4 linked regions of the Elephas maximus indicus genome follow. The protein of the gene in region 1 purifies or fractionates together with the protein of each later gene. This does not show direct contact. Links are inferred from orthologs where the notes say so. Each region holds a gene or a part of one and is shown in the gene's direction. Other genes may lie near its edges. The genes, in order: EXOC3, EXOC8, EXOC7 and EXOC6.

What was found.
Region 2: the proteins of EXOC3 (region 1) and EXOC8 purify together in Homo sapiens (affinity purification with mass spectrometry; 5 studies listed by BioGRID and IntAct, counting the BioPlex papers as one, with this or other methods). This does not show direct contact. The link is inferred for Elephas maximus indicus from reciprocal best matches to the Homo sapiens genes EXOC3 and EXOC8.
Region 3: the proteins of EXOC3 (region 1) and EXOC7 purify together in Homo sapiens (affinity purification with mass spectrometry; 5 studies listed by BioGRID and IntAct, counting the BioPlex papers as one, with this or other methods). This does not show direct contact. The link is inferred for Elephas maximus indicus from reciprocal best matches to the Homo sapiens genes EXOC3 and EXOC7.
Region 4: the proteins of EXOC3 (region 1) and EXOC6 purify together in Homo sapiens (affinity purification with mass spectrometry; 6 studies listed by BioGRID and IntAct, counting the BioPlex papers as one, with this or other methods). This does not show direct contact. The link is inferred for Elephas maximus indicus from reciprocal best matches to the Homo sapiens genes EXOC3 and EXOC6.

The regions. Positions count from the first base shown.
Region 1 is NC_064820.1:480,739-487,970, forward strand, and holds the start of EXOC3 (exocyst complex component 3), read left to right. Parts: upstream 1-4,005; 5' UTR 4,006-4,084; intron 4,085-7,232. UniProt on the Homo sapiens protein: Component of the exocyst complex involved in the docking of exocytic vesicles with fusion sites on the plasma membrane.
Region 2 is NC_064842.1:33,312,859-33,320,881, forward strand, and holds the start of EXOC8 (exocyst complex component 8), read left to right. Parts: upstream 1-4,932; 5' UTR 4,933-5,058; coding exon 5,059-7,236; 3' UTR 7,237-8,023. Other genes in the region: DNA-dependent metalloprotease SPRTN, read right to left, coding at 3,016-3,115, 4,303-4,523. UniProt on the Homo sapiens protein: Component of the exocyst complex involved in the docking of exocytic vesicles with fusion sites on the plasma membrane.
Region 3 is NC_064837.1:66,346,733-66,355,143, reverse strand, and holds the start of EXOC7 (exocyst complex component 7), read left to right. Parts: upstream 1-5,371; 5' UTR 5,372-5,443; coding exon 5,444-5,503; intron 5,504-5,713; coding exon 5,714-5,779; intron 5,780-8,411. UniProt on the Homo sapiens protein: Component of the exocyst complex involved in the docking of exocytic vesicles with fusion sites on the plasma membrane.
Region 4 is NC_064834.1:44,079,988-44,087,678, forward strand, and holds the start of EXOC6 (exocyst complex component 6), read left to right. Parts: upstream 1-4,649; 5' UTR 4,650-4,710; coding exon 4,711-4,811; intron 4,812-7,691. UniProt on the Homo sapiens protein: Component of the exocyst complex involved in the docking of exocytic vesicles with fusion sites on the plasma membrane.

The DNA.
Region 1 (7,232 bases):
GTGATTCCTGCTTTAAAATCCCACCATGAGTATTAATTAGAGGTTCTTATTCCTATTGTTTGTAACTTTTCACTATATAGCTGAAAAATTATTAAAATCAAATACATGGGAATGGGATGAGAGGACAGAAACATATTTTTGCAGTTTTTACTGGAAAAAAGTTTTCAATATTTAGACTGACTTGGCTGAATTTTTAAAACTGGTGCACTATAATGTCATTTTTTGTACTGTTTTCTCTGTGCCTTCAGAAAAAGCTTTCAAATATATTTCTGATACTTCAGTTCATATTAAATTTTTTATATCAATATAAAATGTTTAATACATGTTTACCATGAATGAAAATGTCTGAATGATTTTCCAAATGAAGTGACTTTATTTCCTTTAGTGTGTGTGGTTAATTTTCATCCTAACTCAGATCTTTAGTACTAGATAGACAGCAATAACACAAATATGCCTGAACCAAGAGCCTGGCTTTTGTTCTGTTGTACATAGGGTCGCTGTGAGTTGAACCCGACTTGATGGCACCTAACAACAAAGAGTCCCCTGAGGAGGAAGGACAGCCTGGGCCGTCCCTGCTGCCACACCAGCAGTACTATCTCCTCAGGGGGCTGACTCAGAGACCTCCTCTCCCCACTGCCCCCAGCTCTTCCCCAGACCCATCACTGAAGGTCAGGGAGTGCCCTGCCCCGTGAGGGTAAAGAGAAGGCAGAACTGAGGACGCAATGAGGACCCTGGATTCCATCTTGGTGGGGCACCTGGGGTCAGCCTTACCTGCTCTCTGAGCACCTGGGCAAGGGGCCTTCGTGGTGAAGGGGGCAGGGGGCAGGAGGCCTCGGACTTCAAGCCCCAGGCACAGCCACAACTTCAGGCCCCTTGAGAGGAGATGCCTTCCAAGGCCTATTCAGAGAATGCCCTAAACTGAACAAGTTCCAGGACCCTGTACAGAATCTAGATGTGCCCCTGCCAGTGGCAAGCTAAGCCCTGCTGGGTCCTCTGCGTCCACCCTACATGCCACAGCACACGCATCCCCATGGCGACCTGGCCTGCTCTGAGCCTCCTGAGACCTGCCCAAGCTAGACCTGCCCAGGCAAGACCAGACTGTGGGGGCCGACCTGCTCCTTTACTGCCTGCACCCTGCTGGGTCCAACGGAGGTGCTCACCTTCCCAAGCCTACTTCAGCCTACACCGCACATTTGCTCAGGGCCCTCAGGCCCTCCCCCCACTGCTTCCCCTTCCCTCTCTACCTACCCTGCTCCTCCCCTCACAGTCCTCCCCTTACACCCTCCACATAACTTCCTCCTTCTTACCCCTCCCTCCTCTCATCTTCCTCCATCAACCACACAGTGGGGGTCTGTGCTGTGCAGACAGGATTAGAAACAGGACCCTGTAGGGGAGGGAATGACAGCCCAGGAACACAGGACACTCACAAAAGAAACGCACAGGGCAGGGGCTTTGAGCTTCCTCTGCCTGGCTGACCAGGCTGCAAATGGAGGGAGCAGCCCCCACCCCGGGCCAGGTCAGCCTTTCTGCCCACACCCCCACAGTGTGAACCTGGACCCCACAGTGAAAGACCAGCAGGCCTGACTTCTCATCCCTCAGACAAGATTTGGAGTGTTGTGTGGCTTATTTCCCCGTAAAGGGCTGGGTCCCTGCCCACCAGAGGGCAGCCCTCCTGGCCTCCTGCCTATCCTGGCTCAGGCCAGTTGGCCTCACTCCAGTCTTGGCTTCCGGCTCAGGGCCATCACTTTTTCTTTATTATTTTAAACATGGAAGTAAAGAGCATAGTAAGCAGAGGTCCAGTAGTCAGATTTAACAAAGCTAACATTTTGGATACACATTCCTTAAGGAATTAACACTACAGGTACACTCAGAGCCACTGGTCTCCATCCCATCTCTCCCTCCCCAGAAGAAGTGGTCCTGAAGCTGCGCCATTCCCTCCTGCTGTCATACCTTTACTACATCTCCATCTATGGCGATGCACACTGCTCTGTAGCTCATATAAGCGGAGTGGTGCTAGTTTTCAGGATTCTTTTCCATGCTCTTTATAGACTCATCCATGTTGATACAGGAATGCATGCATCTGTGGTGTAGTGTTCCACAGGACTGGACCCCTTTATCCACGCTCCTGCTGATGGACATGTGGGCAGTTTCCAAATCTTCTGTACCCACTCAGCGCAGCCTGAACATGACCGCCCACCCTGCTGGGTCCCTATGCTGGGTTCTGGGTGTACACCAAGACACGGCAATGGCCCATACATGCTGCCTAACCGTCCTCTAAAGTGGTTGTACCAGGTTGTCATCCTACAGCCCCAAAAGGGCTCTTGTTTACTCACATGTCACCAATACAGGGTATTAACATTTTAATTTTGGTCTTCTGAGGGGCAGAAATGGTAGGTAGTTGTGTCATATGCATTTCATTAATTCATCATTCGTTCATTCAACAATATTAGTATTTGTTTAGTTCCAGCTGAGTGGCAGGCTATGTGACAGTGCTGGGGACATCTTAGGGAACAAGGGAAGCGGAAATCAGTGCAGTTCCAGAGCTGACATCCTCATGGGTGTGTGTGTGGGGTGGGTGGGTGAAGGTGGGTAGGCAATTAACAGTGACCAAAACAACTATGTAAGTTCTATAATGCATTAGAAGGGGACCAGTGGAATACAAATAAGTGGAGCAACCTGTCATTCCCACTGGCACTCATGCCATCGCATCTCCATCATTACTGGAGAGTGGTTTTACAGGGCGTTCAATGCAAAGCGAGACTGGGAAGGTGACATATGAGCCAGGACATGAACAAACAGTCTCAGCAGCAGGAGACCTGGAGGTGGGAGCTGGGGGCATGTTCTCAAAGCTGAGGACGCTGACAGTGGTTTCCCCTCAGTCCTATGAATGCTGTTGAGAAGACTGCTGTCATTCTAATTATCATTCCTTTGTAGATGCTAGGTTTTTTTAAGATTTTTGCTTTGTCTTTGATATAATGTTAGGAGATGGTGTGCTTCTTGAATCTTAAGTTTCGTATCTTTCATCAAATCTAGAAAATGTGCAGCCTTATCACTGTGATGAAACTCTCTAGTGCTTCTTCCCATCCTCTCAATTCTACCCTCTGGACTCTTGTTAAGAAGATGTTGAACCGTCCCCTCTAGACCCAATGCCTTTTAACTGTTCATATTTCTCAGTTCTTTATAATGCTGCATTCTGGACAATTTCCTCAGATACGTCTTCTAGCCCATTCTCTCCTGTTTTGTGGGGGGTCTACTCCTGCTTTTTTAAGTGTTGGCTGACTCTCACTCAAAGTGGATTATTCCCATGTGTGTTTTATAATTTTTTATTGGGATAAAGTTTCTTCGGTGAGGGCAAGTTTCAAGTATTGTTGTCACTGTGTGCCACCAAGTTGATTCTGACACAAAGCAACCATATATGACACAGTAGAACTGCTCCCCAAGGTTTCCAAGGCTGTAATCTTTATAGGAGCAGATCGCCAGGTCTTTTTTCTCACAGAGATGCTGGTGGGTTCAGACCTCTGACTTTAGCAGCCGAGTGCATAATCATTGCACCACCAGAGCTCCTCTGTGCTCCTCTAGGAAAGCTCTTATGTTTCCTCCTGTCAAGGTTGAGGAGTGTCTCTCTGGAAATGTTCCTGAGTTTGCTTCTGCCAAAGGATGACTTCTAGTTATAATCTCTAGACTGGAGAGTTTCTGGACCAACAAGTTTTTAAGATTTGAATTATTAAGTCCAAGCGAAGGCAGAATCATAGCTATGAGTTCTGGGGTTGGGGGATTTCTCACCCCCAGGATTCAGACAGGGCCAGGGAGCTTTCTGGTCATCTCCCAGTACCTGGGCAAAGTTGTTTTCGTTTCGCTTTGTTAAGGGCTTTTTTTTTTTTTCTGCTCCACCCTTTCACTGAGGAGCGGCCTATGGGGCTGCGGTCTCCGGTCCCGACGCTCACCCAGCCCGTACAGCGCCTCTGCGGGCTGGACGCCGCACCCCTGCGAGGACTGCCCTCCTCAGGCCCTTCCGGCCGCGTCGCCGGAAGCGGAAGTTCCCCGCACTGCTCGCTGCTGGCAGGGAGGCGACGACCGGAGGACGGTGAGACGCGGGGGCGACGGGGGCGCAAGGAGGGGCTTGGGCGGCTGGTGGTGTCGCCTGGGCCGGACCCCACCGACGCGCCTCGGTCCTCGGTCCGCTCGGCTCCGGCCCGACTCGCGGAGGAGGAGGCCGCGGTGGAGCCGGGCGGGACAGGCCGGGCGGTTGTGCGGGGCGGGGCGGGGCCGGCGGGGCCCGGAAGGATGTCCGCCAGGTGGACGCCTCAGGTGTTTGCGCCGCTGCGCTCGGGAAGGGCGGTTTGACAAGCACGAGGTGTGGCACTAGACCCGCACCTCCTCGTCTGTGATTTCAGAGTTCCCTTTCTGCCTTGTGGGCTGAAATCCCACTGAGGGGCCCCGGGGTGGTGGCAGCGTGCGGTGGCGTGTGTGCCTGTCCTCACCGAGGCCCCGGGATGGTGGCAGTGTGAGGTACCGTGTGTGCGTGTCCTCACCAAGGCCCCGGATGGTGGCAGTGTGCAGTACCATGTGTACATGCCCTCACCGAGGCCCCGGGGTGGTGGCAGTGTGAGGTACCGTGTGTGCGTGTCCTCACCAAGGCCCCGGATGGTGGCAGTGTGCAGTACCATGTGTACATGCCCTCACTGAGGCCCCGGGGTGGTGGCAGTGTGCGGTACCGTGTGTACATGCCCTCACTGAGGCCCCGGGGTGGTGGCAGTGTGTGGTACCGGGTGTACATGCCCTCACCGAGGCCCCGGATGGTGGCAGTGTGCGGTACCATGTGTATGTGCCCTCACTGAGGCCCCGGGATGGTGGCAGTGTGCGGTACCGTGTGTACGTGCCCTCACTGAGGCCCCGGGGTGGTGGCAGTGTGCGGTACCGTGTGTACATGCCCTCACTGAGGCCCCGGGGTGGTGGCAGTGTGCGGTACCGTGTGTACATGCCCTCACTGAGGCCCCGGGGTGGTGGCAGTGTGCGGTACCGTGTGTACGTGCCCTCACCGAGGCCCCGGGGTGGTGGCAGTGTGTGGTACCGTGTGTGCCTGTCCTCACCGAGGCCCCGGATGGTGGCAGTTGTGGTACCGTGTGTGCGTGTCCTCACCGAGGCCCCGGGTGGTGGCAGTGTGTGGTACCGTGTGTGCGTGTCCTCACCGAGGCCCCGGGTGGTGGCAGTGTGCGGTACCACGTGTACATGCCCTCACTGAGGCCCCGGGGTGGTGGCAGTGTGCGGTACCGTCTGTACATGCCCTCACTGAGGCCCCGGGGTGGTGGCAGTGTGCGGTACCGGGTGTACGTGCCCTCACTGAGGCCCCGGGGTGGTGGCAGTGTGCGGTACCGTGTGTACGTGCCCTCACTGAGGCCCCAGGGTGGTGGCAGTGTGCGGTACCGTGTGTACATGCCCTCACTGAGGCCCCGGGGTGGTGGCAGTGTGCCGTACTGTGTGTACGTGCCCTCACTGAGGCCCCAGGGTGGTGGCAGTGTGTGGTACCGTGTGTGCCTGTCCTCACCGAGGCCCCGGGTGGTGGCAGTGTGCGGTACCGTGTGTGCCTGTCCTCACCGAGGCCCTGGGGTGGTGGCAGTATGCGGTACCGTGTGTGCCTGTCCTCACCGAGGCCCCGGGGTGGTGGCAGTGTGCAGTACCATGTGTGCGTGCCCTCTCTGAGGCCCTGGGGTGGTGGTAGTGTGAGGTACCATGTGTTCGTGTCCTCACCGAGGCCCTGGGGTGGTGGCAGTGTGTGGTACCTTGTGTGCGTGCCCTCACTGAGAGCCCCGGGTGGTGGCAGTGTGCGGTACCGTGTGTGCCTGTCCTCACCGAGGCCCTGGGGTGGTGGCAGTGTGCGGTACCGTGTGTGCCTGTCCTCACCGAGGCCCCGGGGTGGTGGCAGTGTGCGGTACCGTGTGTGCCTGTCCTCACCGAGGCCCTGGGGTGGTGGCAGTGTGTGGTACCGTGTGTGCCTGTCCTCAGCGAGGCCCCGGGTGGTGGCAGTTATGGTACCGTGTGTGCCTGTCCTCACCGAGGCCCCGGGTGGTGGCAGTTGTGGTACCGTGTGTGCCTGTCCTCACCGAGGCCCCGGGGTGGTGGCAGTATGCGGTACTGTGTGTGCCTGTCCTCACCGAGGCCCCGGGTGGTGGCAGTGTGCGGTACCGTGTGTGCCTGTCCTCACCGAGGCCCTGGGGTGGTGGCAGTGTGCGGTACCGTGTGTGCCTGTCCTCACCGAGGCCCCGGGGTGGTGGCAGTGTGCAGTACCATGTGTGCGTGCCCTCTCTGAGGCCCTGGGGTGGTGGTAGTGTGAGGTACCATGTGTTCGTGTCCTCACCGAGGCCCTGGGGTGGTGGCAGTGTGTGGTACCTTGTGTGCGTGCCCTCACTGAGAGCCCCGGGTGGTGGCAGTGTGCGGTACCGTGTGTGCCTGTCCTCACCGAGGCCCTGGGGTGGTGGCAGTGTGCGGTACCGTGTGTGCCTGTCCTCACCGAGGCCCCGGGGTGGTGGCAGTGTGCGGTACCGTGTGTGCCTGTCCTCACCGAGGCCCTGGGGTGGTGGCAGTGTGTGGTACCGTGTGTGCCTGTCCTCAGCGAGGCCCCGGGTGGTGGCAGTTATGGTACCGTGTGTGCCTGTCCTCACCGAGGCCCCGGGTGGTGGCAGTTGTGGTACCGTGTGTGCCTGTCCTCACCGAGGCCCCAGGGTGGTGGCAGTATGCGGTACTGTGTGTGCCTGTCCTCACCGAGGCCCCGGGTGGTGGCAGTGTGCGGTACCGTGTGTGCCTGTCCTCACCGAGGCCCTGGGGTGGTGGCAGTGTGCGGTACCGTGTGTGCCTGTCCTCACCGAGGCCCCGGGGTGGTGGCAGTGTGCAGTACCATGTGTGCGTGCCCTCTCTGAGGCCCCGGGGTGGTGGTAGTGTGAGGTACCATGTGTTCGTGTCCTCACCGAGGCCCTGGGGTGGTGGCAGCGTGTGGTACCTTGTGTGCGTGCCCTCACTGAGAGCCCCGGGTGGTGGCAGTGTGCGGTACCGTGTGTGCCTGTCCTCACCGAGGCCCTGGGGTGGTGGCAGTGTGTGGTACCATGTGTGCGTGACCTCTTGAGGCCCCAGGGTGGTGGCGGTGTGAGTTGCCATGTGTACGTGCCCTCACTGAGGCCCCGGGGTGGTGGCAGTGTGCGGTACTGTGTGTGCCTGTCCTCACTGAGGAGTCCTGAGGT
Region 2 (8,023 bases), on another chromosome or scaffold:
AGGAGGCCAGGGCCCGACTACAGAACAGATCATCAATTGCTCATATGCAAGTTCAGGTTGAAAATGATGAAAATTAGAACTCATACGACCTTGAGTATAACCCCCCGAACTTGGAGAACACCTCACAAATAGATTTGACGTGTTGAACCAGTAACCACTGAAGACCAGACAAGTTGTGGAATGACATCAAGGACATCACACATGAAGAAAGCGAGATGGTTAAAAAGACAGGAAATAAAGACAAGACCAAAATGGATGCCAGAAGACTCTGAAACTTGCTCTTGAGCATCAAGCAGCTAAAGCAAAAGGAAGAATTGATGAAGTAAAAGAAAGGAAGATTTCAAAGGGCAGCTTGAGAAGACAAAGTATAGTATTATATCAACACGTGCAAAGAGCTGGTGATAGAAAACCAAAAGGGGAGAACACGCTCAGCATTTCTCAAGCTGAAAAAACGGAAGAAAAAATTCAAGCCTCGAGTTGCAACAGTGAAGGATTCTATAGGGAAAATATTAAACAACGCAAGAAGCATCAAAAGAAGATGGAAAGAATATACAGAGTCATTATACTAAAAAAAACAAAAAACTGGTTGACATTCAACCATTTCAAGAGGTAGCATATGATCAGGAACCGATGGGACTGAAGAAAGAAGTCCAAGCTGCTCTGAAGGAAGGTACTGGCAAAAAACAAGGCTCCAGAAATTGACAGAAAGTCAGCTGAGATGTTTCAACAAATGAATGCAGCGCTGGAAGTGCTCACTTGTTTATGCCAAGAAATTTGGAAGACAGCTACCTTGCCAACTGACTGGAAGAGATCCATACTTATGCCTAGTCCCAAGAAAGGTGATCCAAATGAATGCAGAAATTATCAAACAATATCATTAATATCACATGCAAACAAAATTTTGCTGAAGATCATTCAGAAGTGGCTGCAGCAGAATATCAACAGGAAGTGCCAGAAATTCAGGCCGGATTCAGAAGAGGATGTGGAACCAGGCATATCATTGCTGATGTCAGATGGATCCTGGCTGAAAGCAGAGAATACCAGAAGGATGTTTACCTGTGTTTTATTGACTATGCAAAGGCACTTGACTGTGTGGATCATAACAAATTACGGATAACACTGCGAAGAATGGGAATTCCAGGACACTTAATTGTGCTCACGAGGAACCTGTGCACAGATCAAGAGGCATTTGTTCAAAAAGAACAAGCAGACGCTACATGGTTTAAAGTCAGGAAAGGCGTACGTCAGGGTTGTATCCTTTCACCATACCTATCAATCTATATGCTAGGCAAATCATCCGAGATGCTGGACTATATGAAGAATGCGGCATCAGAACTGGAGGAAGACCCATTAACAACCTGCATTACACAGATGACACAACCTTGCCTGCTGAAAGTGAGAAGCACTTACTAATGAAGATCAAAGACCACAGCCTTCAGTATGGATTATACCTCAACCTAAAGAAAACAAAAATCCTCACAACTGGACCAATAAGCCATATCATGGTAAATGGAAAAAAAGACTGAAGTTGTTAAGAATTTCATTTCACGTGTTTCCACAAGCAACAACCACGGAAGCAGCTGTCAAGAAATCAAGACACGCTGCAGTGGGCAAATCTGCTGCAAAGGACCTCTTTAAAGTGTTGAAAAGCAAAGACGTCACCTTGAAGACTAAGGCGCGCCTGACCAAAGCCATGGTATTTTCAATTGCATCATATGCATGGGAAACTTGGACAATGAATAAGGAAGACCAAAGAAGAACTGCCTTTGAATTGTGGTGCTGGCGAAGAATATTGAATATACCATGGACTGCCAGTAGAATGAATAAATCTGTCTTGGAAGAAGTACAACCCAAATGCTCCTTAGAAACAAGGATGGCAGGATTACGTCTTACATACTTTGGAAGTGTTAGCAAGAGGGATTGGTCCCTGGAGAAGGACATCATGCTTGGTAAAGTGTAGGGTCAGCAAAAAACAGGAAGACCCTCAACGAGATGGACTGACGTGGTGGCTATAACAATAGGCTCAAACTTAACAATGATTATGGGCGCAGTGCAGGACCAGGCAGTCTTTCATTCTATAGTACATAGGATCGCTATGAGTCGGAACTGACTCAATAGCACCTAACCACAACATTTTTGTTTCAATTTAACCCATCTTGAAAATGGTACATGGCACTATATTGGACGTCTGTTTTTTATATATGTACCATTTTCCACATTTAAGCCAGATGCAAGACTCTACACAACACATTGCCAATACACCTCTTTTTTTCACTACTACTCTGTATCTGGCCAAAAGCAACTACTCAGCACATAAAATAAGACTAAATGAGCATACCAACCCAGGGGTAAGGATGAGAAAGCAGGAGGGGACAGGAAAACTAGTAATGGGGAACTCAAGGTCAAGAACGGAAGAGTGTTGATATGTCATGAGGTTGGCAACCAATGTCACACACTGATATTGTGCATTGTTTAATGAGAAACTAATTTGCTCTGCAAACCTTCATCTAAAGTGCTATAACAAAAAAGCAACTACTCCTGGTAGGGAAGAAGTCACAAGTTCTGCGCATGAAGTGTGCCCTCAAGCTGGTTTTTGCTGCCAGCTCAGCTAGGTGCCCTGGAAGGGAAGCAGTGTGGAAGTAGGATAGAGGAGAAACAAAATTTGCATGGGAAAACTTGGATCCTAAGTTCTTCTCTGCTTCTAAATTATATATCTTAAACCACTTACTGATCCTCTATGAACCATAATTTTCTCGTTTATAGAAATGAGGATCACAGCACACACTGAACATCAACAGGGTCGTGGTAAAAATCAAATGCAATAATATACCTTAAAGTCATTCATCTATGATGCACTATAAAAATAAAAGGTAATCATTAATTGTCCCACACTCAAAATTTGTACAGAGGAAAAACAATTTTAAAAAAAATGTACAGATTAATTCACAGAAGTCTAAACCAATGGTAAGCGTTTCTAAATTACTGAGCTAAAAATCAGGTTTGTGCAAAAAATACCTCTACGAGATCCTTTCTTGGTCTTAACTTTAAAAGGGGTTCACTGAGTCGGATGGAACACATTCCACCCCTCCCTTCATAGCTGCATATCCCAGCACACCTGCAAAACAAAAACCACAAAAATGTGTGACCATTACCAGTTATACATTAAGAGAGAAATACAGATAACTCAGCAAATCCTGATACACTCTTGGGCGGTTCACACTAAGAGAACTCTCTTGATAGATGGTTTTCTTGAAAGTTATCTCCTCTGAGTTATATTTGCCTTTCACCCCAGTTAGGGAGATAAGCGAGCAGTAGCGGCTTCCCTTACCCATCAGGCTGCAACAGCTCAAAGCTAACCCTGTTCTCCTACTCCTAGTCTCTGCACAAGCTATAATCAGTTTGTGGCACTAACAGGCAGGTACGTGTTCTAGCAGCACATCTCCAAAATTATAACAGAAGCTTATATGAGGGAGATTTGCACTTTAAAAACACTTTTAATGTATCTTAACTTGTCTGACACTAGGTTGTTTCGTAATTCAGAAACAAGCATGATGGTATACAACTGCACCCTAAACTTGATAAGCCCTCTCATGTCTGAGAGTAGGTTATTATTTCAAATCCGAATTTCTTAAACTTAAAGAGTGTAGAAAAGAAATCTTTAATAAGTATCATTAAAGATCCCTTGGGTCCAGAAATATGGAAAAGTCCTCCTTCCACAGTCCAACACACTAAGTGGTGCCATGTCAATGAGTATAGAGGAAGACAACACATTCTTTGGCGATTTCTTCCCGGCATTTTTCTTAGGGGCAGACGCTGGTGCTCCTCCTTCTTGGGTCCTAAAGCACTAAACTGAAAAACCATCAAATCCGTTGCCGTCGAGGGGATTCTGACTCACAGAGACCCTATAGAACAGGACAGAACTGTCCCCACTGGGTTTCCAAGACCTTAATCTTTATGGGAGCAGACTGCCACATCTTTCTCCCGCGGAGCACCCGGTGGGTTTGAACCAAAGACCTATCGGTTAGCGGTGGTGTCCTTTTACCACTTCGCCACCAGGGCTCTTTTAGCATAAGATTAGTTAAGCTTTATCTATCCATTCTCTAACGACCTAATGTGTAGCAAAAAAAAAAAAAAGGCACCACCACAGGACAAATCGGAAATGTGTCCATTTCTTCTCAACTGAGTTGAGAGTCAAGGTCCTGTGCTCTCACTGTGTCCCTATCCCTCAAGCGTGTGGGCCCCGCAGCTTTCCTAAAGCTGTCAGGGCAGGTGGAAGAGGAGGCCCACCCGGCCGGGACTCACAGGGTCATTCGCACGCTCCATTTCACCTCCACAGCCTCCAGCTGGCCCCAAAAGAACCGGTCGTTGAACTGCACGAAGAGGGCCTGCAGGTCCGGGGTGGGGTCCACCAGCTCCCAGGACGCGTCCACCAGCGACAGGGGTTCCTGGGCGCGGTCGAATCGCGCGGCCTCCAAGTCCCACTCCTCCTGCAGCTGCAAGGCCAAAACCAGGTCTTCGTCCATGGCGCCGGGTTGTGTGGCCCCCCAGCTGCTCCCCGGCGGCTCCTAGGAGATACCGGCTTCCAGCAGCTATCGCGAGAAGGCGGAATACCGGCTTCAGAACGAGCACGAAAGCTGACCTTCCCCAAGACGCCGAAGCCAAGATTCGAGGGCTAACGAAAATCCGCACCTCTTAGTTGGCGCAGAATTCAGTTCCCCAGGTTTGGCCGAGAAGTCGCCGGGAGCTGATACCGCCCCTACAGTTTCAAACACCAGACACCAGCCTCCATCCATGCGCAGAGCCTGCACGACTGCCTCCACCCTCACTCACTTCCGCGAAAGCGCTTAGGGGCGCATGCGCCCTAAGCAGCTGACGCTTCGGCGCAGGCGTACTCGCTAGCGCGGCTCCTTGCGCAAGCGCAGTGCCCGACTCTCAGACCCGAGCGCAGGCGCGTTCACCTCGCTTCGTCCTGCTTCTTCAGCCTGGAACTCATTCCGGCTGGGTGGGTCTCGGCAGCGGCAGCTGTACTGACAGTGACTGCCCGCGAGCCGGACGGAAATGGCGATGTCGATGTCGGACAGCGGGGCGAGCCGTCTGAGGCGGCAGCTGGAGTCGGGCGGCTTCGAGGCTCGGCTGTACGTGAAACAGCTCTCTCAGCAGTCGGACGGGGATCGGGACCTCCAGGAGCACCGGCAGCGCATCCAGGCGCTGGCGGAGGAGACGGCGCAGAACCTGAAGCGCAACGTGTACCAGAACTACCGGCAGTTCATAGAGACGGCCCGCGAGATCTCCTATTTGGAGAGCGAGATGTATCAGCTCAGCCATCTGCTTACCGAACAGAAGAGCAGCCTGGAGAGCATCCCACTCACCCTGCTTCCTGCCGCCGCCGCCGCCGGAGCCGCCGCGGCCTCTGGTGGGGAGGAGGGGGGAGGTGGGGCGGGGGGCCGAGACCACCTCAGAGGCCAGGTCGGCTTTTTCCCCACCCCTGGGGGCGCCTCCCGCGACAGTTCAGGTCCGGGTGAGGAGGGAAAGCAGCGCACCCTCACCACCCTTCTTGAGAAGGTGGAAGGCTGCCGGCACCTGCTAGAGACGCCGGGACAGTACCTGGTGTACAACGGGGACCTGGTGGAGTACGAGGCGGACCACATGGCCCAGCTACAGCGGGTGCATGGTTTTCTTATGAACGACTGTTTGCTGGTGGCCACCTGGCTGCCACAGCGGCGGGGAATGTATCGCTACAACGCTCTCTACCCCCTAGATGGCTTGGCCGTGGTCAATGTCAAGGACAACCCACCCATGAAGGACATGTTCAAGCTGCTCATGTTCCCGGAGAGCCGCATTTTTCAGGCGGAAAATGCAAAAATCAAACGGGAGTGGCTGGAAGTGCTGGAAGAAACCAAGAGGGCCCTTAGTGAGAAAAGACGAAGGGAGCAGGAGGAGGCAGCAGCCCCCCGAGGGCCGCCCCAAGTGCCTTCCAAGGCCAGTAACCCATTCGAGGATGAAGAAGAAGAAGAAGAGGTTGTTCCTGAGGTGGAGGAAGAGAAAGTGGACCTCTCAATGGAATGGATCCAGGAGTTACCAGAAGACCTGGATGTCTGTATTGCTCAGAGGGATTTTGAAGGGGCCGTGGACCTGCTGGATAAGTTGAACCATTATCTAGAAAATAAGCCCAGTCCACCTCCTGTGAAAGAATTAAGGGCCAAAGTGGATGAGCGTGTTCGCCAGCTCACTGAGGTATTAGTTTTTGAACTCTCTCCAGATCGTTCCCTGAGAGGCGGTCCCAAGGCTACTCGCAGAGCAGTTTCTCAGCTCATCCGATTGGGCCAGTGCACTAAGGCTTGTGAGCTGTTTTTGAGAAACAGGGCAGCCGCTGTGCATACTGCAATAAGACAGCTTCGCATTGAGGGTGCCACCTTACTGTATATTCATAAGCTGTGTCATGTCTTCTTTACCAGTCTTCTAGAGACTGCAAGGGAATTTGAGACAGATTTCGCAGGCACTGACAGTGGCTGCTATTCTGCCTTTGTGGTCTGGGCGCGATCAGCCATGGGCATGTTTGTGAATGCTTTTAGCAAGCAGGTGTTTGATAGTAAAGAGAGCCTCTCTACAGCAGCAGAGTGTGTAAAGGTGGCCAAGGAGCATTGTCAGCAGCTGGGAGATATTGGATTGGATCTCACCTTCATCATCCATGCCCTTCTGGTGAAAGACATCCAGGGGGCCTTGCACAGTTACAAGGAAATCATAATTGAAGCCACTAAGCATCGCAATTCTGAGGAGATGTGGAGGAGGATGAACTTGATGACTCCAGAGGCTCTGGGTAAACTCAAAGAAGAGATGAAGAGTTGCGGGGTGAGTAATTTTGAGCAGTACACAGGGGATGACTGCTGGGTGAACCTCAGCTACACTGTGGTTGCTTTCACCAAACAGACCATGGGCTTCTTGGAAGAGGCCCTGAAGCTGTATTTCCCAGAGCTGCACATGGTGCTTTTGGAGAGCCTGATGGAGATCATTTTGGTTGCTGTCCAGCATGTGGATTATAGTCTGAGGTGTGAGCAGGACCCAGAGAAGAAGGCCTTTATTAGACAGAATGCATCCTTTCTCTATGAAACAGTCCTCCCTGTGGTGGAGAACAGGTTTGAAGAAGGTGTGGGGAAACCTGCCAAGCAACTCCAAGACCTGAGGAACGCATCCAGGCTCATTCGTGTGAATCCCGAGAGTACAACATCAGTGGTCTGATGCATGGATCAATTTATATATAGATACATATATATTGCTTATATATTATTTATATTAAGTTACATTAGCGTGTTTTTTATAGTCTCAAACACAGCTTAAAATTAAATGATGCCCTCACAGGTGGAAATGCAAAATCAAAAGGAGAAAGAAAAAATACTAAATTAAGCCAAAATAACAAAAATGATGGAATTATTAAAATACACTTTCCTTTTAAATGATGTTAATTCTCTAATGAATATGTGGTCACATTATAGTATTTCAGCTTATCCTTTGAGTCAAAGCACACTTTCTCGCAGTATATATTATACAGCACAGAGAAATAATGTCTATAAATGCAGAGAGTATAAATATGTGGTGAAAAATGTCCCAGTTCACTAAAATGTTAGTTTTCTTCAAGTACTTAAAGGGTATGATACTGTATAAAACGCCCTGTCTCATATATTTCACCACCTTAAAATGTGGTGGGACAATTTGGGGAAAAGAAAGGTGTTGGAAAATTGGTTTTAGGGTATATTATAGTCAAAAGAATTCTTTCTTTAAACTAGTGTGTGGACTCAGATACTCTGGTCTTTATAGAATACAAGAGAAAGCTTTCATAAACATATTTTTAAAACATAATTTGATTATTTTCAGCTGCTGATTAAAGAGCAGCTCTATAATCTCAAGGACTGTGATAAAGCAATTTTTTCAGTGTATTCCTGAATTGTGTAAATTTTCAGCTGGAGTTTTTGTCGTATTAAAAAATAATAAAAAACAAGACACATTGAGGAACCTGGCAGGAGTGATT
Region 3 (8,411 bases), on another chromosome or scaffold:
GTGAGTATGACAGCGAGTGTGTGTGTGTGTGAGGGTATATGACAGTGAGTGTGTGTGTGAGAGTGTGGGGGTGTGTGTGAATGTGTGTGAGAGTATACGACAGTGTGTGTGTGAGAGTGAGTGTGTGTGTGAGGATATATGACAGTGAGTGTGTGTGTGAGAGTATGTGTGGGAGAAAGCATGTGTATGTGTGTGCGTGTGTGTGAGGGTATATGACAGTGATTGCGTGTGAGTATGTGTGTATATATGACAGTGAGTGTGTGTGTGAGAGTATGTGTGGGAGAAAGCATGTGTGTGTGTGTGTGAGGGTATATGACAGTGATTGCGTGTGAGTGTGTGTGTATATATGACAGTGAGTGTGTGGGGCGTGTGTGTGTCAGCATGTGTGAGTGAACGTGTGAGAATTTGTGTGGGTGTGGGTGGGTAAGTGTGTGTGGGTTAGAGGTGGGGATCTGAAAGCTGAGAGCTGGGAAAGGGGACAAGCAGTGACCCCCTGGTCCCGAGAGGCTCCCTGCCCCTGGAGATGCCCCACAGTGGTGAGGAATCATCTACCTTGTGTCACCTGGGCCTCCCAGCCAGCTTCCTGCCTGGCCTGAACCATTCCAGCTCCAGCCCAGGAACCAGAAGCAAGCCCCTGTCCTCCTCCAAGCTGGGCCGATGAGAGCGCGTTTAAAAAGTTAAAGGAAAAATTTCCCTCAGGTGTTGGTCACCCTCCAAGTCCAGACATTGGAGAGCTTTTGGCCTGGGAGCTGGTGTCAGAATAGGCGGTCAGTGGCCAGGGTTTTCCAGTGTCCTGAGGCAAAGGTTAACCAGGCCCAGGGACAGCAAAGGGGCTGTGGCACATGGGCAGCTAGAAGCAGAATAATGGCTGGGTGTCACCTCAACTCAATTGGTCACCTCTCCGTCCACCTTGACTTGGGTTCTCATCCACCTTAGTGTCTAAAAGGCCCCAAGTCAGACTAAGGGCTCCAGTATCTCCCTATGAGTCTGCCTGAGGTGTTCACTGTCCTGATTTGTAACTCCAGGGACACCATTTGCCAGGTGAGACTGTGGCCCTGGAATGTTCCAGCTGATCCCAGGAGGACCATTCTGACTTTTTTGTGTGAGCCAGCCTGCAAGAGCATGCAACATCACGACTGAGGAAATGGAGCATCTGCTTTCCAGGCTTAGCTCTGGCACTTTCTAGACATGTCTCTGTGCCTCAGTTTCCCTGTAAGGACAACAATGCTACCCCATAAGATTGTTGTGCAGTTTACTGGAGAAAACCATTGTAAAGGCTCAGCGAGGTGCCAGGTACGTGCTGATACTCAGATGCCACTGGCTCTGTATACACATACCCCAGGCTTTCCTCCTGAGTGGTAAAATGTGGGGAATGTCACTCCCGTGTCCCCTCAGCCAGTGCCTTATGGCCTGTGTTCTTTTAATAAGCCATCCAGCGCTCGGCACGCACTGCCTGGTGATTATGGTTTCCTTGACCTTCAAGAATGATCCCATGGGCAGCTCGGGATGCTATCAGGGGCTCAGGACTGTCTTGGGGCAGGTGAGGTGAGGACTCCAAAGGTTCTGGATAAGTTAACTGTTTGGAATCAAAACACAGTTCTAAGCAATAGGCTTCCAAATTCACTGCACAGTCTGTTTACTTCGTAATATACTTGAACTCCAGCTGGAAAGACCATGAGGGCCAGGCAGGTGCTGGCTAACATTTCTTGAGCACCTACTATGTGCCAGGCCCTTTATGTAGGTTATGTCACTTAATTTACCTGAAATCCTTTAAGGTGGGGTCTTTTGGAACACTCGGTGTTTTAGTTATCTGGTGCTGCTATAACAGACATACAACGAGTAGGTGGCTTTAACAAAGAGAAATTTATTCTCTCACAGTCCAGGAGGCTAGAAACCCAAATTCAGGGTGCCAGCTCCAGGGGAACGCTTTTTCCCTCTGTCAGCTCTGGGGAAAGATACTTGTCATCAGTCTTCCCCTGGTCTAGGAGCTTCTCAGTGCAGGGACCCTGGGTCCAAAAAACGCACTCCTCTTCAGGTTCTTTCTTGGTGGTATGAGGTCCCCCTGTCTCTTTGGTGGAGTCTCTCCTTTATATCTCAAAAGAGATTGATCCAAGATACAACCTAATCTTGTAGATTGAGTTCTCCCTCACCAATATAACTGCTGCTAACCCTACTTCATTAGCATCATAGAGTTAGGATTTGCAACACATAAGACAAACACATCAGGTGACAAAATGGTGGACAATCACATAATACTGGGAATCATGGCCTAGCCAATTGACACACATTTTTGGGGGACACAGTTCAATCCATAACACGTGGTCTATTATTCAAAGAGGCCCTCCCTTGGCTGAAGTCACACAACTAGTAGGTAGCAGGCCTTTGGTCAGTGGAGGCCTATCTGACCTCATACCTCAACTGTTTCTCTTTCACTCTATGCCTTCCATGGCACTAGAACTAGGCATCACGTGACATACTCCCATGGGAACATATATCCACGGTTCCTAACCTCAAAGCCAGAATCCCGTTGGCCTCACAGACCTCTCCTGGGACCTACCCTGAATAAGATGAGAAGTGGGGATGGGAGGCAGGGGATGCTGGTCCCTGGTAGAGAGGGGCAGGAAGGGACGCAGAGTCTTCTCAGCCACATCTTTTGGTATGGGTATTTCTGCTGGTCCTGACGCTGTTGCTGTGATCCTCAATTTAGAGAGAGTTCACCCTTGTCCACTTGGTGATTACCTCAGAAAGCACACCCCAACCTCCTTCCCGTCGTGCCCTCACTCTCGACGTGTATCCATGAGTTCACCTCTCCCCTTTGGTCCTCCTCCCATGCCCCTGCTCCTCCCTCACACTTATGGCCTTGACCCTCATGCACTCATTAGTTTATTTGTTCATCACAGACATATCGGACACCCGCTCTGGGTTGGGCCAAGGGAGCTGGGGAGACAGGCTTTAGGAGGCGGGCTGACATCTTCTGTTTGCTCAAGGTGACGCCATCAGCTGTGCTGACCTGACTTGTCTCTTGCTTGTGTATGAGTCCTTTCTTGGAAACCAAGAGCAGTCAACTGCGATGACAAGTGGCCCCATGGCTGCCTTTGATCTGCCCTCATTCGGGCTCCCCCAACCACTCCTCTGCTCCACCTCTTGTCTGTGAGATTCAGGAATTGGCCCTTCTTCCTGGCAGAGGCCCCTCTCCCTGCTTCCATCACTCAACTGGGCATGGTGCCCCAAGTGACATCCCAGCCTCTCTGAGGACCTAAAGAATACACTGCCTTCCTGCTTTCCTGCTGGCCTGCCGTCCATTCTCTGTTCCACCTCCCCACCTACCTGTGAGCTAGCAGTGGGGGGCTTGGCTATGATTGGCACCTATGTGTTCTGCACAAGCTTATGGATGAAGTCAAAGGCTTCTGAGGCTGCAGCTGCAGTTTGCTCCTTTTGCTAAAGCAGCTTGTGCTGAAGATAGTTGGGGAATTATAGCTTTTATGGAATCAATGTCTGCTTATCAACACACGTTTTCATTGGGTTGAGAATAATTTAAACTCATCTTGCCATTCTGTCAGGTCCTTGGTTGGCCCAGAATTTGTGCTCGACTAATAACTGAAAGGTTGGCAGTTTGAACCCACCCAGCAGTGTTGTGGAAGAAAGCCTGGCGATCTGCTTCTGTCAAAATTATAGCCAAGAAAACTCCATGAAGTATAGTTCTACTCTGTAACACATGGAGCCACCATGAGTTGGAATCGATTTGATGGCAACAGGTTTGGTTGTTTTGGTTTTCATTTTGTCTACCTTTTAGTTCATGTGGTTGTCATAAATATAACCTGCTTTTCACAGTAGATTTTCTTAAAAACCAGATTGGCAGCTTTTCATGATCACAAATGAGACTCTTGAGCTATTCAGCATGGTGAGGTAGAGGAACACAGCCAGGGCTTTACCTGCTCTGGCTGGCCAGGTGGACTTTGTACAGCTTACATCTCCAAGCCTGAGCTTCCTCATCTGCACAAGGAAGACAAGAGTGGCACCAGACTCACAGGTTTATTATGAGGATTAGATAACACTAGGACAGTTATCTGTATCAGAGGCGGGCAAACAGAAGGCTCTCAGTAAATGGTAGTTGGCTACCAAATTATATACTTGGACTTTGAAGGAAATTGAGACTACAGAAAATCACACACATACGTAGTTTATTTACAAAAATGCAATAGCATTGTACAAACTTTAAAATGTTTGCTCGCAATCAGAGAGGATACCCTTCCTCAAACCTAGAAAGCAAGATGTTATTTTTCTTGAGCATCTACCATGGGTTAGTGCTGTTCAGAGGCTCAGAGAGGTTAAGTGCTAGGGTGCTAACTGAAAGGTTGGAGTTCAAACCCACAAGCCACTCCAGGGGAGAAAGATTTACAGCCTTGGAAACTCTATGGGACAGTTTTACTCTGTTCTATAGGGTCACTATGGGTCATCAGAGTCGACTGGAAGGCAACAGGTTTGGTTTTTTTGGTTTGGAGCTCTGAAGAGGGGGTCCTGTCAGCCTCCCAAGCCCATCTGATTTCCCCAGAGCTCCTGTGAGCCATGCTCCCTGCCCGTCTAAACACCTGCAGGCAGGCCTCTCTCTCCCTAGCTGGTAACAGTGCGCTTGCCCTGCAATCCCTCAAGCAGGCTTGGGGCCTTTCAGCCTTCCTCTTGCTGCTCTCCTAGACCTATGAGTTGGAGTCAACTCGGCGGAAATGAGTACGGTTTATTTTTTTGGAAGTAGGCTCTATCAGAAGTAATTCTCTACCACCAGGGTGGTCCACACACCCTGCAAATAAAATAGCTCTCTCCAAACCAGGCACCTAGGTGCGGCTTGGGGAGCATGCTCCGAGGCCCCAGGATGGATGCCCCAAGGACTCTGCCACCCCAGGTACCTGGCTGGGCCGTGCACAAGTTAGGACTGTGCTCAGGACCCGCTCAAGGGGAAACGACTACACCCCCAGGTTCATTAAATGCGCATGCAGGCGTCTATTGTGTGACACGCTCTGTGCTGTGCTCTGTAGGGAACGCAACGTCGGCGCCTCGACCCTGAATGCAATTGGGGAAGCGAATTCGTCGCCTTCCCAACGGTCTCTGTCAAAACGGTCGGTCTTCTCGCAAGGCCGGCAAGTGACCTGTAACTGTCCTGACAGCCGCAGGTAGCGTAACACAGTTCCGGAACCTTCTCTACCGAGGCAGGAATCCGCACCGACGGGAAACTGCAGTGCGCCAGGCACGCCAAACTTTCCACCCACACTCGCGATGGCCACTTGCTCTGCTGGGCCCCGGGAGGCGCACTTCCGCCTGCCACTCCCAACATGGCAACCAGCGCTCCCAGGGGCGGGGCCAAAAACGGAAGTGGGTGTGGTAGGGACGGGAGCCGAGCGGGACCGCTGGGACCCCATCCTGGGGCTTGGGGTCCGCAGGGTTTGGAGAGATGATCCCCCCGCAGGAGGCCTCCGCCCGGCGGCGGGAGATCGAGGACAAGTTGAAGCAGGTGAGGTTGGGGCTGGGCATAGCGGGGGAAGGGGTGAGGGAAAGGGGCCGAGATTGGGGCCCGGGCATCTACTCCCCGAGGAGGCAAGTGGGAGGGGGCACTCCTAGCGAGGAAATGGGGTCGGGGCGGGGGTCGAGACAGGGGCCGCAGACGCGCTGATCTTCTTTAGTCTCTGGCTCCTGGTCATGTCCTTCCCTCCGCTTCCCCCAGGAAGAGGAGACGCTGTCCTTCATCAGAGACAGCCTGGAGAAAAGCGACCAGCTCACCAAGAATATGGTGAGTTACTCCTCAGCTGGGAGAGGCAGATGGGGCTCCTACCCTACAGGAGAGCGATGCGACCCTGCGCTCCCTGGGCACCCAAGGCCTGGGGTTTTGGCATGGGTGGCGATGGTTGGACCGTGTGGAGTTCTCTGGCAGTAACATGGCATCTAACTTACCTAGCCCCCGTCCCCATGTTCTAACCCGTGTGGAGGATCCTGCAGTCCCCGCTAGTCTGGACTTTCTAAAGCTCTCTGTCCAGGCTTTCCATTTTCCCTTCTCTCCTTCAGCAAACATTTAGTGAGACGGACTAGGTGGGCTAGTCACTGGTCATATGCCACCTCCAACTCAAGTGACAGAAAGTCCCTTATAGGGATGGCATTTTGAGATTACTTAGGCCAGAGAAGACACAGCTTTCACTCCAGAGGACATTAGGGGTAGAAGGAGCTTTGAAGTTGGACAGATCTGGGATCTAGCCCCTGCCCTGCCGCTTACCGGTGTGATTCTACACAGGTAAATCTGCACCTCAGTTAACTTGTGTCTTAGTCTTCTAGTGCTGTTGTGACAGAAATACTACAAGTGGGTGGCTTTAAAGAGCATAAAATTATTTCCTCACACTTTAGGAGGCTAGTCCAAAATTAGGGCACCAGCTATAGGGGAAGGCTCTCTTTGAGCTCTCAGGGAAGATCCTTGTCTCAGACTTTTTTCTTTCTTGGCAATCTTTGCATGGCATCTATCTTTCCCCGTTTGTGCTTGTTTGTCTCTGTGTCTGTGCTCCTGCTTATAACTCAGGCAATTAGGTTTAGGACAAACCCTACATTGATATGACTTAGATAACATAACAAAGACAACCCTATTTCCATATGGGATTACACCCATAGGTATAGAGGTTAGGGTTCCAACACATATCAGGAGGACACAGTTCAATTTCTAACAGCTTGTTTGCTAAAGCAGAGACAGTGCCAGCCTCTCAGTGTGGCGTGAAGGGTGTATGAGCTAATGCATGGGAGCACATCTTGCGCAGTGCCTGGTATACAACAGGTGCTCAATAAATACTAGTTTCCGTCTTTATTCCTAGGTGAGACTGCTGTTGTTAGGTACCATTAAGTCGGTTCCGACTCATAGCGACCCCATGTACAGCAGAATGAAACACTGCCCTGTCCTGCACCATCCTCACAATCGTTTTTTTGCCTTGACCCCATTGTTGCAGCCACTGTGTCAATCCATCTGGTTCAGGGTCTTACTCTTTTTCGCTGACTCTTTACCAAGCATGATATCCTTCTCCAGGGACTGGTCCCTCCTGATAACATGTCGGAAGTATGTAAGATGAAGTCTTACCATCCTTCCTTCTAATGAGCCTTCTGGCTGTACTTCTTCTGAGACAGATTTGTTCGGTCTTCTGGCAGTCCAAGGTATATTTAATATTCTTCACCAATACCATAATTTAAAGGCATCAATTCTTTTTTAGTCCCCCTTATTAATTGTCCAGATTTCACATGCATATGAGGCAATTGAAAACACCATGGCTTCTGTCAGGCACACCTTAGTCCTTAAAGTGACATCTTTGCTTTTTAATACTTGAAAGAGATCTTTTGCAGCACATTTGCCCGATGCAATACATCGTTTGATTTCTTGACTGCTGCTTCCAAGGGCGTTGATTGTGGATCCAAGTAAAATAAAATCTCTTACAACTTCAATGTTTTCTCTGTTTATTATGATGTTGTTTATTGGTCCACTTGTGAGGATTTTGTTTTCTTTATGTTGAGGCGTAATCCATACCGAAGACTGTGGTCTTTGACTTTCATCAGTAAGTACTTCAAGTCCTCTTCACTTTTATCAAGCAAGGTTGTGTCATCTGCGTATCACAGTTTGTTAATGAATCTTTCTCCAGTTCTGATGCCATGTTCTTCATATTGTCCAGCTTCTCGGATTATTTGCTCAGTGAACAGATCGAATAGGTATGGTGAAAGGATACAACCCTGATGCACACCTTTCCTGTCTTTAAACCGCATAGTATCTACTTGTTCTGTTTGAATGACTGCCTCTTGATGTATGTACAGGCTCCTCATGAGCACAAATAAGTGTTCTGGAATTCCCATTCTTCATAATGTTATCCATAATATGTTAGGATCCACACAATCGAATGCCTTTGCATAGTCGGTAAAACGCAGGTAATCATCTTTTTGGTATTCTCTGCTTTCAGACAGGATCCATCTGACATCAGCAATGATATCCCTTGATATTCCATCACCAATGAGATTCCACACCCTCTTCTGAATCTAGCTTGAATTTTTGGCAGTTCCCTATCGATGTACTGCTTTTGAATGATCTTCAGCAAAATTTTACTTACGTGTGGTATTAATGATATTGTTCGATAATTTCTGCGTTCTTTTGGATCATCTTTCTTTGGAATGGGTACAAATATGGGTCTCTTCCAGTTGGTTGGCAAGGCAGCTGTTTTCCAAATTTCTTAGCACAGACAACTGAACACTTCTAGTGCTGCATCCAATCGTTGAGGCATCTCAATTGGTATTCCGTGAATTCTTAGGTAAGACTGGACAGGAGCAATTTGAGTAGATGTAGACTCGGCATTTGTATTCAACAATAAAACAAGTCAGAATCAACTCCAGAGCAGCAGGTTTGGTTCTTT
Region 4 (7,691 bases), on another chromosome or scaffold:
GCTAGTATTTTCCTTGTGTCTTTGGTGTTCTTCATTCTCCTTTCCTCCAGGTGTGTCGAGACCAATTGATCCAGCTTAGATAGCCATTCCCTAGCTTTTAAGACCCCAGATGCCATTCACCAAAGTGTAAACTTTGTTACGCCAGTTGACCTAGATGTCCCCTGAAACCATGGGTCCCCAGACCCCCATCCCTGCTACTCTGTCCCTCGAAGTGTTTGGTTGTGTTCAGGAAACTTCTTAGCTTTTGGTTTAGTCCACTTGTGCTGATTTCCCCTGTATTGCATGTTGTTCTTCCCTTCACCTAAGATAATTCTTGTCTACTATCTAGTTAGTGCATACCCCTCTCTCTCCTTCCCCACCCTTGTAACCATCAAAGAATGTTTTCTTCTGTTTAAACCTTTTCTTGAGTTCTTATAATAGTGGTCTCATACAATATTTGCCCTTTCGTGCCTAATTTCACTCAGCATAATGCCTTCTAGATTCATTCATATTATGAGATATTTCACAGACTTATCATTGTTCTTTATCATTGTGTAATATTCCATTGTGTGAATATATCATAATTTTTCTATTCATTTGCCTGTTGAGGGGCACCCAGGTTGTTTTCATCTCTTTGCTTTTGTGAACAGCGCTGCAATGAACATGGGTGTACATACATCTATTTGTGTGATGGCTCTTATTTCTCTAGGATGTATTCCAAGGCGTGGGATTGCGATATCATATGGAACTTCTATTTCTAGCTTTTTAAGGAAGCACCAAATTGATTTCCAAAGTGTGAAACTCTCTTAATTTTAATTTCTTCAAATTAAATTGGGAATGATAAAAGTACCTCGAAGGACTGTAGTAAAGATAAAGTTAGATAATATAAAGGGCTTTGCAAATAGTCAGTGCTCAGTAAATAGCAATATGATTTTTATTTTGGCCTATAGCTGAGATTCTTTATTTGAGAGCCTTTTAGAAATGCATCACTTTAGAATAGGCTTTTTGGGAGCACTTTTACATATTTATATGTCACATCTATATTCATGATTAAAATCTACACAGCTATTTATTTAGGACCACTCTGCTTTCTTAGCAAAAACCTTCAGGTACTAATGCAGCTGTCAGAAGTCACGGAGGGAACGAACCAGCAAAAGCTGTTGCAGAAGGCAGAAGTGGTGAATAGACTTCCTTCCATCTTGACTTGAGTTGTGCTTATGTTGAAGCAATCTTTATGGGCAGGTGTTGAGGTAATCTTTATGGGCAGGTGTTGAAATAGGCCTGGAATGAAGAGTGCCTGAGCAGGGGTAGATTACCAGAGTGGGTGTACGGGGTGGGAGGATTTGAAGATGGGTTTGGATAGCTGGTGTTAGAATTGGTGAAGAGAAGGGGAACAGGTCTGGGTAATGAATATAGGAGAGGAATGTCCCAGCAGGAGGCAGCTGCCAATAGAAAACTGTCCTGCACCATGCCCGGCTCTCCTCACCTTCCTTTACAAAACAATGAGTTCTGGCCATGCACATTGACTGAGCTCAGCTAGTCTGCCAATAGAGAACTGGCTTTTTATTCTTTTTATTATCTTTGTAGAAGGGTATGGAACTTGGCCTAATTCCATAAGTCTCAGGTTCAATTTTCAAAAGGTTTCTTATCCTCTCTCAAAGCTGAGCCTTCAACTAGGATGTCTGGGCAGTACAAACAGCTTGTGATCAGCTTCTAACCCAAAAGTTAGTGGTTCTAATTCACTCAGTGGCTCTGTGGAAGACAAGGCCGGGTGAACTATTCCCATAAAGACTACAGCCAAGAAAATGCTATGGAGCACTTCTGTAACACATGGGGTCACCATGAGTCAGGGTCAACTTGATGGTGGCTAATAACAACAACAATACCAGGTGGGAGCGGCTCAGTAATTGGAGAGGCAGTCAACTAAGGAAAAATTCCAATTTTTTTACTGTCGTAAAATATATATAACAAAACATTTGCCATTTCAACCATTTTTAATGTGTACAATTCAGTGACATTAATTATATTCACCATGTTGTAGAACCATCACCACCATCTATTAAAATTCAATTTTTTTACAACTCCATAAAAAACAGTTGTACAAGAATCCAAAACACTGTGATCTAGGTATACAGATGTGGCTTGATCCAGGGATAAAACCTTAAATAACCAGAGGACTAGATGAACTTATCTTCTGGCAAAAGTTTATATTGTTTTTTGCATTGAAGCTCTTGATAAAAGTGGGCATCGGGGAATCTGAAGTAACATTCTCTGTTGGTGCTTCTATTAAGGCAACTGATTACAGCCACATTAGAGAACATTTTATTTAATGTCAATATATAAACAACAAGTTTGAAGAAACTAATTTTTTATGGTTTGATATTGTTCTAATTCCTAATTGTTACCAATCACAGATTAACCAAACTCCTACCTTATGTTCAGACCTGTTCGGAAGACTCCTTTCTAACTCGTCCTGAATTCTTTCTGGTGGCTTGAGGGCGGCAGCATTGTTTTGTTTCAAAACTCCTCCAGCTTTCTCTCAGCTATGTGCAGAACTCTGTGAAGAAGTACAGGAAGTTACAAAATCTAAAAAAAGTCATCTTTGAACTCAAGGACCTTAACATGGTGTGTGACAATACTGGTGAATTTGGGTAGAGGCTTTGTTTCTGCATATTCTCAACACTTATTGGGCCCATACTAAGTATGAGAGGTAGAATAATGGCTCCCTAAAGAGGTCCATGTCCTAATCTCTGGAACCTGTAAATGTATTCTTACATGGCACAAGGGACTCTGCAGATATGATTACGGTTAAGGACTTTGACATACATTATCCCGGATTATGTGGATGGGTTCAACCTAATCAGATGATTTCTTAAAAGCAGAGAACCTTTCCTGGCTGAGGTCAGAGCCAAAGGGAGATGTGACTACAGAAGAATGGTTAGAAAGACGCAATGTTGCTGACTTCGAAAATGGAGGAAAGGAGCTATGAGCCAAGAAGTGTGGGTAGCTGGGAAAGACAAGGAAATAAATCTCCCCTAAAACCCGTTGCCATTGAGTCAATTCCGACTCACAGTGGCCCTATAGGACAGAGTAGAACTGCCCCATAGTTTCCAAGGAGCACCTTGTGGATTTGAACTGCTGACCGTTAGGTTAGCAGCCATAGCACTTAACCACTACGCCACCAGAGTTTCCAAAATCTTCCCTAGAACTTCCAAAAAAGAACACAGTCCTGCCTAGTGAGACTCATGTTGGACACTAAATGTGTTTGTTTTTTTTTTTAAGCTAGTAAATTCGCAGTAATTTTTTTTAGCAGCAATAGAAAACTAATACAAACGGGACAATAATACAAGGTAGACACTAAAACTATTATTACCATTTACAATGGGTGAACTGAAACATGGTGGAATTAGGTCATACAGCTGAAGGAGCCAGGAATTAAGTTGAGGACATCTGTCTTCAGAGCTCAGGCTCTTAACTATTATACAATATATGGCCTCCATACCTTCCAGGATTTTGGGCAGGGGGGAGAATGGAGGTAAGCTTCAAGTAAAAGTTCACTGAAGGGAGTGAGTTATAGAGAGGGATAGTAAAGAGGTTGGTTGACTCAAAAGGAAGTTCAGAGCCCTGGGTTAATGGAGACCTGAGAGTAGTTGCCCCTCAGGCTAGGTTTGCATCCTGTTCCTGATTAATCTTCCTCAGTCAGTGCTTTGATCATGACAAACTGGTTTACCCAGAGTCCTACAAACATGTCATTAAACAAGACCCTTTTCTACACTGGTACCCTTGCCCAAACCACTTCACCTCTGTTTCCCACAGGTCTGATGTCCACCTCCTCCGGAGAGCTCCCCATCCCTCCTCACCCCAGCCCACAGCGACCCAGGGGCACTTGGGTTCAAGGACTTTGGCTTGAAATCACACATCAGCCCCTGGGTCTCTTGTATCTTTCCCATGGTGTCTTAGTTTCTTGCCATTTAATTTTTCTAGCGGTTATAACTCACTTCCAAGTTGACTGGCCCCTCATGAACTTCCTGAGAGTACGGATATGAATCCATCCAGAGCGGGTTGTCAAGGTCACCGACTTATTGGTTCATTCCTAAGATAAACCTTACAACACACAATTTTGCTTTTCTTGAGTGCATGTCCGCCTTTCTCCGACTCCCCATTTTCGAGTCGTAGCGACCCCATGTGATAGAGTAAAACTGCCCAATAGAGTTTTCCAGAGTATGTTAAGCCCGTTGTTAAACGTTCTCATAGCTTTTATTACATATTATTTGGCGATGATTACTTGATTGCCCACCTTCCTCATTACTGCTGTATCTCCAGCGCGTAGCAGAGGTTCAGGAACACAAAAATATATGTTAAAGCCAAAAGGTTTGTCACTAGGTGACAACTAGGAGTAAGTCGTGGGGGAGGGGGGGGAGGTGAAGCCGCACGGCGACCTCAGCGAGTCTCAACTCCCAAACGCTGGCAGCACCTTGACTTCTCGAAGGTGCCGGCGCCGAAACGCCCCCGCGCCGCCGCACTCTTCGCGCCCGGGTGCCCCTACGCCCTCCGCTCCCCGCGCCCCCGCACCACCGCCCCTCGCACCCCACCCTATCCCCGCCCCACCGCCCCTCGCACCCCACCCTATCCCCGCCCCTTTCCCCGCCCCCTCCGCGCTCGCGACACATGCCGCTCGCCCCCGCGTCCGCGCGGCGCCGCGCCTCGCCGGCTCCTTAGCGTCCGGCCAAGATGGCGGAGAGCGCTGAGGGTCTGGGCACCATCCCGGAGCACGAGCGGATCTTGCAGGAGATCGAAAGCACAGACACTGCCTGCGTGGGGCCCACTCTCCGGTAAAGCTCTCATGCCCCCGGGCTTCGGGCTGCCCCCGCCGGCAGCTCTTCAGCAGCTGGGCGGGGCGCTCACCGCCAGCCGCGCGTTGGGCGGCCCGACAGGTGGTGCGCGCGGGGGCGCTGCCGGGGCGGCGGACTAGGGCCCGGGCGGGTGTGGGCGGCTGCACCTGTCCGCGTGGTGGCGGCGCGGACCTCCTCAGCCGCGGGAGCTGTCACCGCGCAGCCAGTGGGTGTGGCTGCCTTGGCCCTTCTGACCCCCGGAGGCGCGGCGGCGCTGCCCCGCGTTCGCCCGCCGGCCCCGGCCCGGGGTCCCCAGGACCCGCCTCAGGCCTGGCCCGCTCCGCGTCTGCAGGGCGGCTAAGGTGGCTGACAGCGGGAGTGACCGGGGCGAAGGTTACCTGCCGGCAGCCGGCGTGACCGAAGTGCCGAGGCGCGCGCGGAAGAAAACCCTGGCGCGATGGGCTGCCACGGGCGTGGGGGAATGGAAGTTAAGCGGGAGACTCCAGCACCATTATCCCGGCGCACGGCCCTGAGTGGGCGAGAAGGGAGCGTGGGCTGGCGGGAAGGAGCTGAGGCTCAGAAACACGCTGGTGTTAACTGTGTGCTCACAGAGCGTGCCTCTGGGGAGAAAGCTTTCACTTATTCACGAGCGTTTCGTTAATTTTGCATCAGTTTTTCTGTTTATTTTAAAAAGGACCCTAAACCACCCCCTTAAGAATACAGTACTAGGTAATCGATATTCTGTGCCAGCTTGAATACCTGCTGTCCTAAAAGAATATTATCCAGAGAATGTACAGATCCATTAGATTAGGTTAGGGACTCTCTTCAAGAATAAAAACCAGTTTCTGTCCAGTGGATTCTGACTCATGGCGACTCCATGTATTGCACAGTAGAGCTGCTCCATAGGGTTTTCATGGCTGTAACCTTTGAGAAGCAGATCACCACATCTTTCTTCTGAGGCACCTCTAGTGGGTTCCAGGTGAATTAGAACTGTCAGCCTTTCTGTTAGGGCAGAGTGCTTACACTAGCTCCACCCAGGGAATTTAAGGTTTTATGTTTAGCAGTGATGATGATGAATGAAATTACGATTCATTTGGTCAGGGAACTTTGGGCAGATTTTGCTTTATCATTAGTATTTTCTTCAGAATACACTTCCTAGGAATGGAGCAACATATGATTTGTGGACCTGTGGATGTAGTTACATTGTAAATTTACCTTTCCCTGAGAGTCAGGAGTCCTGTGTTTTTGCTTTGCCCTTGTCTTGCCACTGATGAGGTGTGCAGTCATGGGTAAAAATAATTTAACTTCGCTGGACCTGGGTTACTTTATTTGCAGAATGGGGAGATGGAGTTTTGGTGCCTAAAAACTTGGGACAGTAGGGACCTTGTCTATTTGTTCACTTCTGTATCCCTAACACCAAGCATGTGTTAGGCATGTGATAAATTTTTGTCGTATGAAGTTCCTGCTGTGAACGATAATTAGTGCATTTCCTTAAATTTCCAAGGTAATTACTTCTTTTCATAAAACTATTTTGGTAATGAAAGTAGAAATCATGGATTAAAAGGATGTTTTGTCCTTCTTACTGCATGGCGAGACTGAAACAATACAGGATGTGGTATAGTTATAAGAGAAGTCCATTTTTGAAAGTAGTGTTGCTTGAGAAGGAAATGCTTCATCTTGGGAAAAAGAGATAAAATTAACATGGAAGGAAATTTTGAAATAGATTGAGAGGCTTTTGGGACACAAACAATACAGTTGATCTGAAAATTTTGAAATAGATCGAGAGACTATTGGGACACAAACATTACAGTTGATCTACATTATTTGTGAATTCGTATTTGTGAATTTGCGTACTCACTCGAGTTTATTTGTAACTCCAAAATTAATGCTTAGTGTGCTTTCACAGTCATGTGCAGAGTGACAAAAAATTTGAGTCACCTTATATACATGTTTTCAGCTGAGGTCAGACAAGGCAGTGCTCTGCCTTCTTGTTTCAGCTCTCAGACTGTCAGCAAGTGTCCTTTTTGCGATCTATTTAGTGCCATTTTTTTCTTACATTTTTGTGCACTTTGTTGCTGATTTTGCTGTTTAAAATGGCCTCCAAGCATAGTGCTGAAGTACTGTCTAGTGTTCTAAGCATAAGAATGCTGTCATGTACCTTAAGGAGAAAATATGTACGTTAAGTATGTTAGATAATCGTCATTCAGTTGTGAGTTATAGTGGTGTTGACCATGAGTTCAACGTTAACCAGTCAACAATATATATTAAAGGAAGTGACTTTAAACAGAAACACATAAAACAAGGTATTGTGGTAATGTTAACAAAAACGTTGTGACCAGAGGCTCAAAGAAACCCAACCCTCTGTTTCCCCTAGGAGCAGTGGTTCAGCATACACTAGTTCAGTGTGCAGCGTGACTTTATAGAACATGACTGCTGTGAATAATAAGAACCAACTGTATATGTGTTCAGTGTTATCATCCAGTTCTCTTTTGCCAGACAGTTGTGTCACCTGCTTACTCTGTTGAAACCCACTGTTTAGCACACTGCAGTGACTATATATACACTGGTCATCTCTCATGTGGAGCCCTGGTAGCGCAGTAGATAAGAGCTCGGCTGCTGACCATAAGGTTGGCAGTTTCAAAATACCAGCTGCTCCTTGGAAACATTATGGGATAGTTCTGTTCTATACCACAGGAATCAACTCAACGGCAATGGGATGGGACACCTCTCATGTATAAGCAGAGTAGGAATCAACTCAACGGCAATGGGATGGGACACCTCTCACATATAAGCAGACTCTTTGTTTGCCTACATAAAAGGCACTGCTAGTAGTCCTTTCTCTTGACCAGTGTTTGAGCTACTCCTATTTCCCCCTATTTT